Schizosaccharomyces pombe: one gene and its partners. The protein of the gene in region 1 binds, or shares a complex with, the protein of each later gene. Each region holds a gene or a part of one and is shown on either strand. Other genes may lie near its edges.

What was found. The genes of interacting proteins can lie anywhere in the genome.
Region 2: cnd1 (region 1) and cut14 share a complex: the UniProt entries of both Schizosaccharomyces pombe proteins name them as parts of the condensin complex.
Region 3: cnd1 (region 1) and cnd2 share a complex: the UniProt entries of both Schizosaccharomyces pombe proteins name them as parts of the condensin complex.

The regions. Positions count from the first base shown.
Region 1 is NC_003423.3:3,198,516-3,204,523, forward strand, and holds cnd1 (condensin complex non-SMC subunit Cnd1), read left to right. Parts: upstream 1-1,572; 5' UTR 1,573-1,622; coding exon 1,623-1,737; exon of another isoform or gene 1,738-1,807; coding exon 1,808-1,886; exon of another isoform or gene 1,887-1,911; intron 1,912-1,977; coding exon 1,978-5,260; 3' UTR 5,261-5,471; downstream 5,472-6,008. Other genes in the region: Dbf4(Dfp1)-dependent protein kinase Hsk1, read right to left, coding at 1-173, 232-460; phospholipid--diacylglycerol acyltransferase Plh1, read left to right, coding at 5,933-6,008. UniProt on the Schizosaccharomyces pombe protein: Regulatory subunit of the condensin complex, a complex required for conversion of interphase chromatin into mitotic-like condense chromosomes.
Region 2 is NC_003423.3:2,877,187-2,883,233, reverse strand, and holds cut14 (condensin complex SMC subunit Smc2), read left to right. Parts: upstream 1-1,865; coding exon 1,866-5,384; 3' UTR 5,385-5,547; downstream 5,548-6,047. Other genes in the region: SPOM_SPBP4H10.07 (ubiquitin-protein ligase E3), read right to left, coding at 1-1,429; S-adenosylmethionine decarboxylase proenzyme Spe2, read left to right, coding at 5,865-6,047. UniProt on the Schizosaccharomyces pombe protein: Central component of the condensin complex, a complex required for conversion of interphase chromatin into mitotic-like condense chromosomes.
Region 3 is NC_003421.2:408,854-413,880, reverse strand, and holds cnd2 (condensin complex non-SMC subunit Cnd2), read left to right. Parts: upstream 1-1,789; 5' UTR 1,790-1,813; coding exon 1,814-4,042; 3' UTR 4,043-4,527; downstream 4,528-5,027. Other genes in the region: histone H3-K4 methyltransferase Set1, read left to right, coding at 1-1,116. UniProt on the Schizosaccharomyces pombe protein: Regulatory subunit of the condensin complex, a complex required for conversion of interphase chromatin into mitotic-like condense chromosomes.

The DNA.
Region 1 (6,008 bases):
TGTCGCGTAAATTTTTTTTATAGCAACGTACTTCGGTTTCCGGCTGTCTTCATTAACAGGAATTTTTTCTTTTCCAAAAGAAGATTCCTTTAACACTTCACTTTGAATGTCCCAATCATTAATATACCTCCCATAATGTAGGTCTTCCGCTTTATATACACTGGAGAACGTACCTAAACGAATTAGCAAGATAGTTTCAAAACAGTACTAAAAACGGTAATTGAAGTTTACCTTCTCCAATTTTTTCAATTAGCCGATAGTTCTCTTGTAGCTCTACGAACGTCCTTGTGATATTTTCAATTTCTTCGCGGTCTCGTGCAGGGATATCTTGAATCATTTCTTGAGATTTGTTTTCGTTTACATTTTCATCGTCCACCTCAGTGATTTCACATTCAGAATCAATATCTGTTTGTTGTTCATGAGTTACTTTAGGTGATAGTGTGATATGGGCCTCTGCCATGTTAACGGTTTAACTCATATATTTTTAAACCAAATAATAACTTAAAAAAAATTAAAAGAGTCGTCAATTAAATGGTAAAATGCTGCCAAGGGAAGGAACCAAGAAAAAACAAATTTTCACGTATTTTAAACCTTCAAACCGAACACGCGAACGAATACTAAGATTCAAAAAAATCAAGTTTTTAAAATGTGTAACACAAACTCATTCCATGAATATAAGAATTTGCAGATTCCAGGTTCAACACCAGTTGTACATTGTTAAGCAAAATGCTCTTCTAATGAGGGACATTGTTACTTCCAAACAAGAAAAATACATTTTTAATCCAACTTTTGTTTAATAAAAAAAGTACTCTGCTATAATATTTGTATACTTATGGAAAAGATTAAGATTTCATGTCCTTTATCTTTTTTTAAATTTAGGACTTGCTTTAAAAAACATAAATCCTTTGGGCTCTTGTTATTGTTAATAACCACCATAAACAACTAGAATTGACTATTTATTGGACATTGAGAGTAAATATGATTAACCATGGTATTCAAACACGTTTTTTTTTTCTGTTATTTAAAAATAAATAAAAAAATTATCCTGAATTTGAAATTTATTCCTAGTTAAACTACGATAGGTTTTCTGTTTAGTTTATTGTGTATTACTTTAAAATTCTAAAAACAGCACAAATGCTTACCTCGTCAAAATTTGCATTCATAATAATTTTGAAAATCACCTTGAAAATGATACATGCGCCAAAATAAATTATAAGTTTTTATATCAGAAATACAGCTCAAGAAAGAATTTACAACTAACGTTATTCAAAAAATATATTAAATTCTTTTCAAAACATTTAATTAGAAGTACTAAAAAGAACAATAGCTTTTACGTGGCACGCTCAATAAAAGTTAATTAAAATATTATTTTTTAATGTAAACAAATGAGTTAATAAAAGCACGTTCTATATCCTTAAAGTGGTTAGCAACAATTAAGTCTAGCTCCTATTTTATATTTTGACTAACCGTAGCTCTTTTTTGTTAGTAAGAAAGTATAAATGGACCCCCACACAGGACATATAGGTGGGGTTATTGTTTACAAGGACTACTAGAATGTAGTACGCCAAATCCATCTTTTATTTCATTCGTAACATAGAAAGATTCGGCTTTCAGTGGCCTCAATGTCGTTGGATCTTCTTTCTAGATTAAAGAAATACATTCATGATGAAGAAAATTCCGACTTGGACTCGATTTATGCTGAATGTGAAAATGCTGGATTGACAGCCGTGGTTAACGGTATGGACATTTGGGTTTTTAAAAAAATTGAAAATGATCGATTCCACAATAACTAACAATGAAAAATTAGACGTCATTGATACCCTTTTATTAGGAACGAGTTCTTGTTTCGACGAGGATTGCTTGGAAAAACTCTTTGCTATATGTTCGTAAGTAGTTGTTATTTTGTGTTATTCAAATAGAAGGAAGCCATTTGGTTTACTATATATCAATTTTACCAAACTAACAATAATGGTTTAGACACTTTGCTGACCTCTCTTCCTCTGTAAGGAATAAAGTATATGATTTACTCACGAGTAATATCAGCTCTGAATCCGCTATTCTTGAAGATATGATTTCCGCAAATGCTACTGATTTTACTGTACCTCAAACGAATTTAGAAACTACAGGCATTGCATTTCAGCTCACGGTCAATTCCCTTTCTTCCTCAAATCAACTTTCAGTTATTCGGTCATCCACTAATACTGTTAAGGGAAGAAAAAAAAATCCAACTACTAACTCTAACTGGAATGGTATCTCACATGTAAATGCTTTGTTAGATGCAATCATAACATTATTTCAAAAAAAATTATCTCGTGTATGGACTACTTCTTCGGAAAGAGACATGTTTCTTTCACTTTTCCTAAAACCAATATACACGTTAATGGAAAGTGAAATTAACATAAAAAATGCTTCTTTCCGTTCTCGTTTATTTAATATTATCGGGCTTGCTGTTCAATTCCATAACCATACCACTGCAGCGGAGACAAATATTATTCAAAATTTACAATACTTTGAGCATTTATCTGAGTATGCTGCTGATCTTGTTCATATTGTTACCGTTCAGTTTAATTCCGTTACCTTGGCTGAAGGAATTATTCGAACATTGTGCTCTCTAGAATTTAATGATAACGATGTTAAAGGTCCCAAGCAAGTCGCTTTGTTTCTTGTCCGTCTTTCTTCACTTATTCCAAACTTATGTTTGAAACAGCTTACTCAATTAGTTAAGCTGCTTGATTCGGAATCATATACTCTGAGATGCGCTATCATAGAAGTACTTGCTAATGTGGTCATTGATCAAATTCATGATGAGGCTCAAAATGAAATGTCAGAGTCAGTGCCAGCAACTGTTCAAAGCTTAATGGATCTTCTCAGTGAGCGATTACTAGATATAAGCCCTTACTGTCGTACTAAAGTACTTCACGTCTTTATCAAAATATTTGATTTACCAATTAAGTATCCCAGAAAACGTCAAGAAATCGCGGAACTCGTGATCAGATGTTTGCAAGATCGGTCAAGTCATGTCCGCCGAAATGCAATTAAGTTATTTTCTAAACTTTTAACTACCCATCCTTTTTCAGTTATGCACAATGGCTTACTAACCAGAAATATTTGGGAGAAAGGATTATCTATCATCGAGGAACAGCTTAATTCTTTACAACCAAAGCAACAAGAAAAGGTGGTAGATTCAGAGCTTGAAGTCGATGAAAACTTATTAGAGGATGCTACTATGATCCAAGATGATGAGTCACATGAAGGAGAAAGTCACTTGGAAAATTCTCTAAGCGAATATGTCGATTCTGTTCCTGCTGAGGAAATAGTCAAAGTGAATTTAACGAAACGGTTTTATTTAGAAGCACTCCAATATATAGACATTGTGGAAGCGGGAGCAAAAATAATAAGCCAGTTGTTGTTTGCTAAAAATAAGAGCGAGGTAATTGAGTCAATGGATTTCTTTGTTTTTTGCAATTCTTTTGGAATTTCGTCTTCAAAATTATATATAAAAAAAATGATTCATTTAATTTGGGTAAAAGGAACCTCCGACGAAGGGAACAACATTCAGAACCATGTATTGTCATGTTATAAAACATTATTTTTTGAGCCACCTCCGAACTCTGGTACCAACGAAGCCGCAAACTATATTGCGAGAAATCTTATTTCATTAACATATGATGCTAGCCTTGCTGAGCTTACATCACTTGAACAGATGCTTTGCATTTTGATGAAAGATGGGTATTTTTCACATCTAGTCATAACAAAACTATGGCAAGTATACAGTTATCAAAAGAAGGATATATCTCGAACACAACGTAGAGGATCCATCATAGTAATTGGAATGCTAGCATTAGGCAATACCGATGTTGTCATGCAGGGCTTGGATCATCTTATTCAAATAGGACTTGGTCCCCCTGGTTTGGAGGATTTAGTTCTTGCAAGGTACACATGTATAGCGATTAAACGTATTGGCAAAGATGCGTCTGGTTCTTCTAATATTAATTTTCCAAATTCGCATACGCTTTGTCAAAAATTATGTATGCTTTTACTTCGACCATCGTTCTCTGAAGAGTGGTTTGGGTTAGAAGAGCAAGCTATTGAGGCTATATATGCAGTTGCCAAACATCCTGACGAACTTTGTACCAACATTATTTTGCTTTTGACGAAACAACTCTTCAAACCTTCCAATCATGAGAATACTACCAGTAACGATGATCATGCAATGGACGAAGATTTAGATGATTCTCCAGAAGAAGAAACATTAAAAGATGAGGAAGAAATAGGTATACGACTGGCGCACTTAATATTTTTAGTAGGCCATGTCGCGATTAAACAATTAGTCTATATCGAATATTGTGAGGCAGAGTTCAAACGGCGAAAAGCGGACGCCGAGAGATTGGCCGTACAGAACTCAAATAATCCTATAAATGGGCAAGAAACTTCTGAATATGATTTAATTACGGGAACAAGTGAAGATGATTTTTCAGAAGCAATGACATTTATTCGTGAAAGGGAGTTGCTCTATGGTGAGAATTCTTTACTTTCGAGATTTGCTCCATTGGTAGTAGAATTGTGCTCAAATCATAAATCGCACAATAATCAAAGCCTTTTACTAGCTGCTTCTCTGACTTTGTCCAAATTTATGTGTCTTTCTAACAATTTTTGTATGGAACATCTTCCATTGTTAATAACCATTCTGGAGAAATGTGATAATCCGATTATTCGAAACAACTTAGTAATCGGGTTAGCAGATTTAACTGTTTGTTTCAATCATTTTATTGATGAAATATCCGAATACTTATATAGAAGACTGATGGATGAAGAGTCTTCTGTCAAAAAGACATGCTTTATGACTCTAGCATTTTTGATTTTAGCTGGTCAAATAAAAGTAAAGGGCCAGCTGGGTATTATGGCTCGTTCTTTGGAAGACGAAGATGCTCGAATTTCTGATCTTGCTCGAATGTTTTTTACTGATTTTGCAGCCAAGGATAATTCTGTATATAATAACTTTATTGATATCTTCAGTGTATTATCTAGAAGTGCAGAGGAGCAGGATGAGGACGACGCTAAGTTTAAGCGTATCATTCGTTTCTTGACGTCCTTTATTGAAAAAGAAAGACATACCAAGCAATTAGCCGAACGTCTGGCTGCTCGTCTTGATCGGTGTAAAACTCAACGTCAATGGGATCATGTGGTGTATGCACTTTCTTTGCTTCCTCATAAAGCCGATAATATTCAAAAGCTCATTGACGATGGATATCATGAATAAAGTCAATTCTAATGCTTTATCTTACATATTCAAAATCCTTTGTATATTAGTATTGCCTAATTAAAAAGAAGAATGACGGTATACCTTTTTTATAACGAATTGAATGTTAATAACTATAACTTCATTGATCTACAACACCCATTATTTGCAACAATTAAACAATTCAAGCGCAAGTTAAGGTAATTTAGTTATTAGCTAAGTAATTTGCACATTCTAGCTGGGTCATTAATTATTTTTTGTGCTTATGAAGAAGATTTAACTTTACCCTAGAAAACTATTCACCTTCATTAACTGCTAAGTAAAACTGAGGAACTCTTCTCAATTTTAGGCTGTATCAAATATTGGTAAATTACATACTTGAACAGAGATCATTTTTTGGAACTGTCATCATCCTCTCAGGCTAGAAGTTTTGATAATAAATATAATCGGCATATACTGAGTATAAGTGCATTGTAACGTAACTCAGTTTAACTAGAAATAAGGTATTTCAAACTTTTAGACACTAAATCAAAATACAATTGTAGAAGGAAACCGATATTAAACGTGTTTCTAAAGCAACTTAACGCTCACTTCGTTATCACTCCTGCTGTAGAACTATGACAGTAAGGACTTCGCTTACTTATCGAATGTTTGGCAGTTGCTGCTCAAGCAATTCATATTTTAAAGTTAACTATGGCGTCTTCCAAGAAGAGCAAAACTCATAAGAAAAAGAAAGAAGTCAAATCTCCTATCGACTTACCAAATTCAA
Region 2 (6,047 bases), 320 kb from region 1:
GTGCTCTCAAAACAGGATGATTTTGAGGTACAAAAGCTTCTCGAACGTATATGGCCCAGCTTCTGGGCAATTGGTGGTCCGTTTGCGAATTATTATTTCTAGTTTCAGGTGCTTGTTGAGTGGAGGATCCATTATTATCGGAAATCCCATTTACGTCTGTAGCAGTAGAAGCTTGCTCGTCTTCGGAAATATGTTCTGCCTCATTAACATTTTCATTTGGCCCCGTATTATCACTAACGGACGTTGTCTGATTTTGCGAGTTAACAAGTGAAGATATCAAATCAGAAGGATGCATTAAAGTTGGGGAATCGGCACTTGGTTGATCATCTTCATCACTTCCTGAATTTCTTAGACTTCGGATGCCAACTATTATAATCGGGATTACTTCTTGACCTTCATGATTTCGGTGTAAATTGTCAAATCTAAAAGTTCGAAAAAGGTTTATAGGACCAGATTCTTCTTCAAGATCCACAGCATTTGCAATTAGTTCTGCAGTCCTAGGATTAGTTTCTGCGTTCATCGCCTGCACCAGATTACCAGCGTGCAAAAGCGATAAAAATTCATCGAAAGCAACATTTCCAGATTCCACATTTCCAGAAATTGAAGAAGGAAATTCTAAATTGTTTGATTGATGTGCACTCGAAGAATTCATCAGTACACTAACCCAACCAGACGCTACTGAAAACACAAATCGAGAAAGCATGACTAGTTGACTTTCTTCTGGAGAAACAGATGCTTGTTGAGTATTTTCACTATTATTAATATAGTTCATTACCGCACGAGTATAGTCCTCCATATTTGAGTCCGCTAGAGAAGTGACAGATCTTACCGGCAATCTTCCAATTGCAGTTCCCGGAGATTCTAAATTATTTACAGAGCCATGATCCTGCATTTCCTGTCCACCGCTCGAACTGACGTTTTCATCTTCATGATTCGATGCCAACGTAGACTGATTGTTTTGGGTATTTAAATTGCGTAAAGCAGCAATACTAGAACGAAATCTTCTAGCAGCACGTTCAAATTCCTGTTGGTGATTTTCAAGGATTAACCTGTCTGTTTGAGGTATTGCAGATGTTTGTGATTCGCCTTCTATACGAGAGCGAGGAGTAGCTGGTGTAGCTGGTGGACTTAACGACCTTAGAGAAGGAGAATTCCTATTCAAAAGCGAACCACGGTAGCGAGAACGAAAAGCCGATCTTTCAGTAGTTCTATCACGATTACCATTTTCCGAATTGCCTTCATCGTTACGATGCCGCTTTGCTCTTCGAAGACCTAAGACTCGCTGCAAAGAGGGAAAACGATTCCACAGCCTACTAAAGCCAGAATTTTGTCGATCTGAATCATTAATGTTTTCACTTTCTGATGAAACCGCCTGCATACTTGCGTCCCTTTGAATTTGCCGACTGGGAATGGATTCACCTTGCCCCATTTGTGTAGTGAGTGCAGTACTGATTATCAAATATAGTTAAATAACAGAAAAGATAAAATATATGTTTTAAATTAAAAAGAATTTAAACAAGTTACTTGAAAGTATTAAAATACATAAACTAATAAATCTAAAATGTTAATAGCGGTAAGCTTTTTGCATACTAAGCATCATTACGTAGTTTAACGTTGCGGTAAATGTTATTAGAGTAGTCGCACTCTTTTATATCTACTATGAAGTCTTATTTCACCTTTAATGCTTTAAACGACAAACAGCTTTAATCATTTTTACACTAAACAGCAAACAGTTCGGACTGAAATGTACTGCTGAAGATTTATCTCCCTCTAGGAAATACTTTACAAGTCAATCAGTTTTTTGAATTCTAGTCTTAAATACTTGGGCTTCAGTAAACAAACAGAACGAGAAATTTACTGAAGAAATGAAAATAGAGGAACTCATCATTGATGGTTTCAAATCATATGCTGTGCGAACTGTCATTAGCAATTGGGATGACCAATTTAATGCTATAACGGGCCTCAATGGGTCTGGAAAAAGTAATATATTAGATGCAATATGCTTTGTCTTGGGAATTACGAATATGTCGACTGTCCGTGCCCAGAATTTACAGGACTTAATTTACAAACGCGGACAGGCAGGAATAACCAGAGCTAGCGTTACCATTGTGTTTAATAATCGGGATCCTGCGTCTTCACCAATTGGTTTCGAGAATCACCCGCAAGTAAGCGTTACAAGACAAATTATCATGGGCGGTACAAGCAAATATTTGATTAATGGACATAGAGCTCTGCAACAGAATGTTCAAAATTTGTTCCAGTCTGTTCAGTTAAATATTAATAATCCTAATTTTTTAATTATGCAAGGTCGAATCACCAAGGTTCTTAATATGAAGGCTACTGAAATTTTATCAATGATTGAAGAAGCCTCTGGTACTCGAATGTTTGAAGAAAGGAAAGAAAAGGCTTTTCGAACAATGCAACGAAAAGAAGCAAAGGTTGAGGAGATTAATACACTGTTAAGAGAGGAAATCGAACCCCGACTTACCAAACTTCGTACAGAAAAAAAAACTTTTCTAGAATATCAACATATTTATAATGACTTGGAACGATTAAGCCATCTTTGTACTGCTTACGACTATTATAAGTTGTCACTTAAAGTGGAGGAATTAACGGTTCAAGCATCCCAGAAGCACAGCCATATCGCCGAGATGGAATCTTCATTACAAACATCGAAACAGGAGGTTTTAATACTAAAGGAAAAGATTAAAAAAATTGAAGATGAGCGAATGAGACAAATGAGTGTTTCTTCGGATCGTACCTTGGACTCTCAGTTACAAACTGTTAATGAAAACATCACCAGAATAAGCACGTCGATAGAATTAAAGAATACAGCTTTAGAGGAAGAGCATGGGGACCTTCAACAAATTCGTGGAAAAGCTAAGGAATTAGAAACTTTGTTGCGCGGAAAAAGGAAACGACTAGATGAAGTGCTTAGTGTATACGAAAAAAGGAAAGATGAACATCAAAGTATTTCAAAGGATTTCAAGTCTCAAGAAGAGCTAATTTCATCACTTACAACTGGTCTTTCCACTACAGAAGGTCATGAAACTGGCTATTCTAGAAAACTACACGAAGCTCGAGATACGTTGAATGACTTTAAAGCTGAAAAAGAAACCAATCGATTAAAGCTTGAAGGACTCAATAAACAAATATCTTTAACTAAACCTAAGAAGGCTGAGGCTACAAAACGATGTGATCAACTCAATCGCGAAATCGATATATTACAAAACCATGTTGAGAAGCTTAAAATGTCTTTAAAAAATACAAATTCCGACATTACAGGTGAAGATGTACTCCAGCAAAAGTTGAAGCAACTTGCTAAAGATCGCGGCAATTTGTTAAATGAACTTGATGCTTTAAAAAGCAAACTTGCTTATATGGAATTTACTTATACCGACCCTACTCCTAATTTTGATCGCTCAAAGGTGAAAGGATTGGTGGCTCAATTGCTAACCTTGAATGAAGAGAATTATGACAAGCAAACTGCATTAGAAATTACAGCTGGTGGCCGCCTTTATAATCTCATTGTTGAAACCGAGAAAATTGGTGCACAATTGCTTCAAAAAGGAAACCTGAAGAGGAGAGTTACTATTATTCCCCTCAACAAAATTACCAGCTTCGTAGCTTCAGCAGAGAGAGTAGGCGCAGCCAAAAAAATTTCTAATAATAAAGCCCAACTTGCTTTGGAATTAATCGGTTATGACGATGAGCTTTTGCCTGCAATGCAGTATGTTTTTGGCTCCACATTAGTCTGTGATACCCCTGAATCGGCAAAGAAAGTTACCTTTCATCCTTCAGTTAAATTAAAAAGTGTCACGCTTGATGGTGATGTTTATGACCCATCTGGTACCCTTACTGGTGGGTCTGTGAATAAATCTGCCGGTCCTTTACTACAGATACAAAAGCTGAACAGTCTGCAGCTAAAATTGCAAGTAGTTACTTCAGAATATGAAAAGTTGGAGACTCAACTTAAAGACTTAAAGACTCAAAATGCCAATTTTCATCGACTTGAGCAAGAAATTCAACTAAAGCAACATGAATTAACACTTTTGATAGAGCAAAGAGAGACCGACTCATCTTTTCGTCTTTTATCTGATTATCAGCAGTACAAAGACGACGTTAAAGATCTCAAGCAAAGGCTTCCTGAATTAGACAGACTTATATTGCAAAGTGACCAAGCTATAAAAAAAATTGAACGAGACATGCAAGAATGGAAACATAACAAGGGATCAAAAATGGCTGAATTGGAAAAGGAGTTTAATCAATACAAGCACAAGTTAGACGAGTTTACTCCTATATTGGAAAAGTCCGAGAATGACTATAATGGCGTTAAACTCGAATGTGAACAATTAGAAGGCGAATTGCAAAACCATCAGCAATCTCTCGTACAAGGTGAATCGACCACGAGTTTAATAAAGACGGAAATTGCAGAACTTGAGCTGTCACTTGTTAATGAGGAGCATAATCGAAAGAAACTCACCGAACTAATAGAAATTGAAAGCGCCAAGTTTTCTGGACTTAACAAAGAGATAGATTCACTCAGTACCTCAATGAAAACATTCGAATCTGAAATAAACAATGGGGAGCTAACAATTCAAAAGCTGAACCACGAGTTTGACCGATTAGAGCGAGAAAAATCAGTTGCTATAACTGCTATTAATCATTTGGAAAAGGAAAATGATTGGATAGATGGACAGAAACAGCACTTTGGTAAGCAAGGAACCATTTTCGATTTTCACTCTCAAAACATGCGTCAGTGTAGAGAGCAGTTACATAATTTGAAACCGCGATTTGCTAGTATGCGTAAAGCTATTAATCCCAAGGTTATGGACATGATTGACGGTGTAGAAAAGAAAGAAGCCAAATTGCGCTCTATGATAAAGACCATTCATCGCGATAAGAAAAAGATCCAAGATACTGTCAAAAGTATTGATCGGTTTAAAAGGAGTGCCTTAGAAAAAACCTGGAGAGAAGTCAATTCTTCTTTCGGTGAAATTTTTGACGAACTACTTCCTGGTAATAGTGCAGAACTACAGCCACCAGAGAATAAAGAATTCACTGATGGATTGGAAATTCATGTAAAAATTGGGTCAATTTGGAAAGATAGTCTGGCAGAACTTAGTGGTGGACAAAGGTCTCTAGTTGCATTGGCTCTTATTATGTCTCTACTTAAATATAAGCCTGCTCCAATGTACATTTTAGATGAAATTGACGCGGCGCTCGATTTAAGTCATACCCAAAACATTGGAAGACTTATTAAAACAAAGTTTAAAGGTTCTCAGTTTATTATTGTTAGCCTTAAAGAAGGAATGTTTACCAATGCTAATCGACTATTTCATGTACGATTTATGGACGGATCATCTGTGGTACAAGCTCGCTAATTTGAACGTAAACACTTGAATTATACGCGCATGTATAGTCCTACTATTTACTATCACCGATGTCTTAATTTATTTAAAGAATATTTCTACCAATCATTAAAAACAAGACTTTTGGTTCTTTAAAGTTGTTTGTGCCGCTAATGAAACTTAGACTACGGTATGTATCATATGTATAAAATATCGTAAACTCATCATTTCCAAATTTATTATTAGCGTCGATGTCATTTGTAGCATATTCAAAAATATTTAGGGTAGGGTTTTAAAATTTTGATCGATACAGGATGTTTCTGTGGTTATGTATTTAGCCTCAACATCATATAAAATTGGTGCGACAGCCGCAATTAAGTTATTATTTGTATGCTTTTTTGCTAATAAATATCCTAAAAGTGTAACTGGAGCAACTAGCTAGTACGTGTTTTGGGAATTACACTCACAGCGCACATATAGCATTGGAAGTTCTTTGTATGACTATATTCTAAAATGTCTCCTACCCTTGTTGTTGATCAAGAGAATTCGGAAGAATTTAACACCTCCTCATTTGAAGGTCCTGAAAAATTGCTGGAACTATGGTTTTCGGCTCCTATAAAAACCAATTTAAGTGCGGGTGAAAAGGCTAACTTGGGACTAAAAGCTGTTTCTCGCAATGATTGGGATGATATGCTA
Region 3 (5,027 bases), on another chromosome or scaffold:
TCAAAGAAAAAATATGAAAAGATGGAAGTTGACTATACTTCGTCCAGCGAAACCGAATCAGATGCATCAATACTTTCTCCTAGTGCTGCGATTCCAAAATCAGGTAGCGCCATAAAAGATGAACTCATATCGCCTAAGAAAGAGATTGATGAAGTTTTAGCTTTAGCTCCCAAATGGCGTATTAATGAGTTTGATGAAACTGGAAGCGTTTATTATGGTGCACTTCCTTACAATTATCCAGAAGACGATGTACTTCTTGACTTGGATGGTCTACAGTACTTGGTAAAAAATGACGAAGATTACTCATATCTTCAAGAGGCACTCAAGGATGAACCCCTCATGGATATCAACGATCCCAATTTCTGGGCTTATGAACGCAAGTCATGTAAATTTAAGAATGGGGATGTTAAGTATGGAGATACGGCTATTCTTCCAGAACCTAAAGGTTATTTTCGCTCTAATACTAGCGGTTCTGCTAAAAGTGAGGGATACTATATTATTCCAACTACCGAAAAATCACTATATCTACCACTTCGTAATCGATCAACCATCGATACTATTAGTCATTCTACAAGCCGTATCACATCACGAATGAATCGTGTTAACAATAGAAGATTGGCTGCTGGAGTTGAAAAGTCTCAATTGCCAGCCGAAGCTGACTTGCTCAGATTCAATGCACTAAAGGCTCGTAAAAAGCAATTACATTTTGGCCCTAGTCGCATTCATACATTAGGGCTTTTTGCCATGGAAAACATTGATAAAAATGATATGGTCATAGAGTATATTGGAGAAATCATTCGACAACGGGTGGCTGATAATCGTGAAAAGAACTACGTTCGTGAAGGTATTGGAGACAGTTATTTGTTCCGTATTGACGAGGATGTTATCGTTGATGCTACAAAAAAGGGAAATATCGCGCGTTTCATCAATCATTCATGCGCTCCTAATTGTATAGCTAGGATTATTAGAGTTGAAGGGAAAAGAAAAATCGTAATTTATGCTGACAGGGATATTATGCATGGAGAGGAACTTACTTATGATTACAAGTTTCCGGAAGAAGCTGATAAGATTCCTTGTTTGTGTGGTGCTCCAACATGTCGTGGCTATTTAAACTAGACAATGATGCTCTTGGAGAATTGATGGTACATGAATATATGGGCAGCTGTACAATTATAATAGTTCGTTTAAAAAGCACGCATTATATCTGATGGTACACTAATGCTTTTTATTTTTTAATATAGAATAGAATCAATTTTCTGTCTTACATCGTCTGCATTTGATATTGGTTGAATATTTTGAGAGTCAGGATAAATGCGCATACCATTCAGTGGATTGCATTCAGGAGTGATTTAGAAGTAAAATGTTAAGAGATATACTGTCTTAGATATATCCATTTGCTCCACAATACTACGAAGTTCAAGTTTAAATAAACGAAAACGAAAAATAAAATTCTCTTAAAACTTGATAGCTACTGAATTTTAGGATCCAAACTTGATTTGGTATTACCTTGTTAATTTTATATGGAAGATTTATAATAATTGAAACTTCACAAAATTTGTAACAGAATAATAAACAAAAGACTTTTGACTTTGTAATCGGGAAGCCATCAATGAAGTAAATTGGGAAATACTATATTATTTGAAAACAAATTTCAAAAGAAAAATAATGTTATCATATTGGCATTTATTTAGAAACTTATTTGAATCTTTATCATTTGTTGATTAGAAAGAAATATACGGCATATCGTTAAAGCGCGATATACGTATAGGCACACCGACTTACCACTTGTGAACATAAACATTTACTTAAATCAATGAAAAGAGCTAGTTTAGGCGGGCATGCGCCCGTTAGCTTACCCTCCTTAAATGACGATGCATTAGAAAAAAAAAGAGCTAAAGAGAACAGCCGTAAGCAGCGCGAGTTGCGAAGAAGTTCAGCTCTGCACTCAATAACGCCAAGAAGAGAATCTCTAAACAATTCTTCACCATTTAATAGCTCTCATCAGGTTCCTGTTCTTTCTAATTTTGAGGAATGGATTAAATTAGCTACTGACAACAAAATTAATTCCACAAATACCTGGAATTTTGCGCTTATTGACTATTTTCACGACATGTCGCTTCTACGTGATGGTGAAGATATAAATTTCCAAAAGGCAAGCTGTACATTAGACGGATGCGTGAAAATTTATACTTCGCGTATTGATTCTGTTGCTACTGAGACCGGCAAGCTACTCAGTGGATTGGCAAACGATTCCAAAGTATTGCAGCAAACGGAAGAAGGCGAAGATGCTGAAAATGATGATGAGGATCTACAGAAAAAGAAAGAGAGAAAGCGTGCACAACGTTCGGTAAAGACTCTCGTTAAAGATTTCGAGTCAATACGCGCTAAAAAATTTGAGTTAGAATGTTCTTTTGATCCTTTATTCAAGAAAATGTGTGCAGATTTTGATGAGGATGGTGCTAAAGGCTTATTAATGAATCATCTTTGTGTTGATCAACATGGACGAATTGTATTCGATTCTAGCGATACTGTCATCAAGGATTTGGAAAATAAAGATGTTGAAGCTGAATCGCAGGAAGCGGTAGTCGCAGCGCCTATCGAAAGCCATGACACAGAAATGACTAATGTGCATGACAATATTTCTAGGGAGACCTTGAATGGTATTTACAAATGCTATTTTACCGATATTGATCAGTTGACAATATGTCCCTCCTTACAGGGCTTTGAATTTGATAGTAAAGGGAATCTTGATGTCTCTCTCTTAAAATCATTAAGTGATGAAGTTAACATGATAACGACAACCTCCTTAGTGGATAATACGATGGAGAAAACTGATGCTGATGCAGCTTCCCTTTCTTCCGATTCCGATGGTGAAGAAGGACATATTGTGCATGCTTTGGAGGAAATGGCTTACGATGAGGAGAACCCATATGTTGATGTAGTACCAAAAGCAATGGACGAATCCGAAAATCCAGATTTTGGTGTGGATACTGAAGTCAATATGGCTGATGGAAGTACTATGAATGAAAATTATTCTATTATTTCTACTGCCGCTGCGAATGGAGTATACGAATATTTTGACAAGTCAATGAAAAAGAACTGGGCTGGACCCGAACATTGGCGCATTCAGGCATTGAGAAAAAATATCAATAACGCATCAACTGTATTCAACTCTTCCAATACGGCTGAAAGTTCAGATAATGTATCGCGTTCTCTTTCTTCCACGGAACGGAAAAAGCGTCGAGAACTTGATAACGCCATTGATTTCTTGCAGGAAGTAGACGTCGAAGCACTGTTCACTCCTGCAACCAGCAGTCTCAAGCTTCCCAAGTCTCATTGGAAAAGACATAATCGATGTTTACTACCTGATGACTACCAATATGATTCTAAGAGGCTTTTACAGCTTTTCTTGAAACCAAAGATGTCAGTTCTACCCAACGCTGATGGAGAAGGACAGCTACAACTGAATAAAGCCTTAGATGATGAGAATGATTTGGACGGTATTCAACCCCATGGATTCGATTCTGATGGCAGTGATAATGTTGATGAAGGAATACCCCCGTATGGATTTGGAGATTCCGATAGCCCTAAGCAAACACCTCTGCTTACACCTCCATCATCATCAGGATTTGGTGATAACCTTTTGTTAACTGCTCGTTTGGCAAAACCAGATATGCTGAATTATGCGAAGCGTGCTAAAAAGGTTGATGTGCGAGTACTGAAAGAAAAGCTATGGAAATGTCTAGATCTTGAAAACACAATTAAAGAAAATTCCATCAACTCTCATATTGAGGGTTCGGAGATGGAGTCAGAAGAAACCAACATGCCAGTCAAATCTTTTTTTTCCACTGTCAATCAATTAGAGGAGACATACGAGAAAAAAGAACTCAAAGATATATCCACCAGTTTTGCCTTTATTTGTGTTTTACATTTGGCGAATGAACATAATTTAGAGCTTACAAGCAACGAAGATTTTTCAGATGTTTTTATTAGGCCAGGTCCTAACTTGACGACGCTAGAAGCATTAGAAAATGATGTTTAAAGTGTGTAGAATCGAAATGATGCAGGTCATCATTAATTAGTCATCATCGCATACTTTTAGCTAGCGTGAATCATTTTCAAGATAGCCGGAAATTATACTCTTTTTGATCTACCTTGAATAATAAAAACACTAGCTCGTATTTTTAGGCTGTTACTACTTTTTGACATTGAAGAGTTGTGAAAAATGAAGAGTGCAAATTGCATTTTGTGGAGCAAGCTGACAGCGAAATTTTTTGTAAAAAATACACCTTCCTTTTATCTTGTGATCGTTGAAGACATCAGTATCTTGCTTCTGCCTGTTAATTCTGTTGGAACTCACTTAGCAGTTGACTCTTTGGAAATAACGAGATATTGCATTCATTACATGCTTCTATTCTCGACAATATAACAAAAAATAATAATTATTTATTGTCTCTATGTGAGGTTTTTTACCTATAATAGGATTAAATTGTACCAATATACGGTTATTCATATATTGTGAAACCCTTTCAAAGTTAGAACATATCGATTTGAGTACAGAAATGTAGGGTAATTTTATCTTTTATGTTAATCTTTCTCAAGAATCTATTTTTTTTTGATACAAATTATTAAATGAATTATCAGAGAAAATGAAATTTGTCAATGACCAAGCTGTAGAATAATTTCAACACCGTCAACGAATGGACTTTGGCTCAGTAAAATAAAGTTAAAATACATCCTTTTAGTTAAAGAAATAGGTTTATAAGCAATCTATGAACTTTCGCAGCAACGTTAGTTCATCTAGTTTTACCATAGATTTGAAATAGCGTTTAAAGCAAAATTACGCTATATACGATAGTGATTCATAATTTAAATAAAATGAGTTATGCAATACAATTATTACAATTTTTTCTGTTGCACAATATCTATTTAGCGTTGCTTTCTCAATGTACTTTACAGTGGGTAACAATCAATGGCTTAGAATACTTTGTCAACATCCAGGAAAAGTAGAATTTATCCTTTCCCTA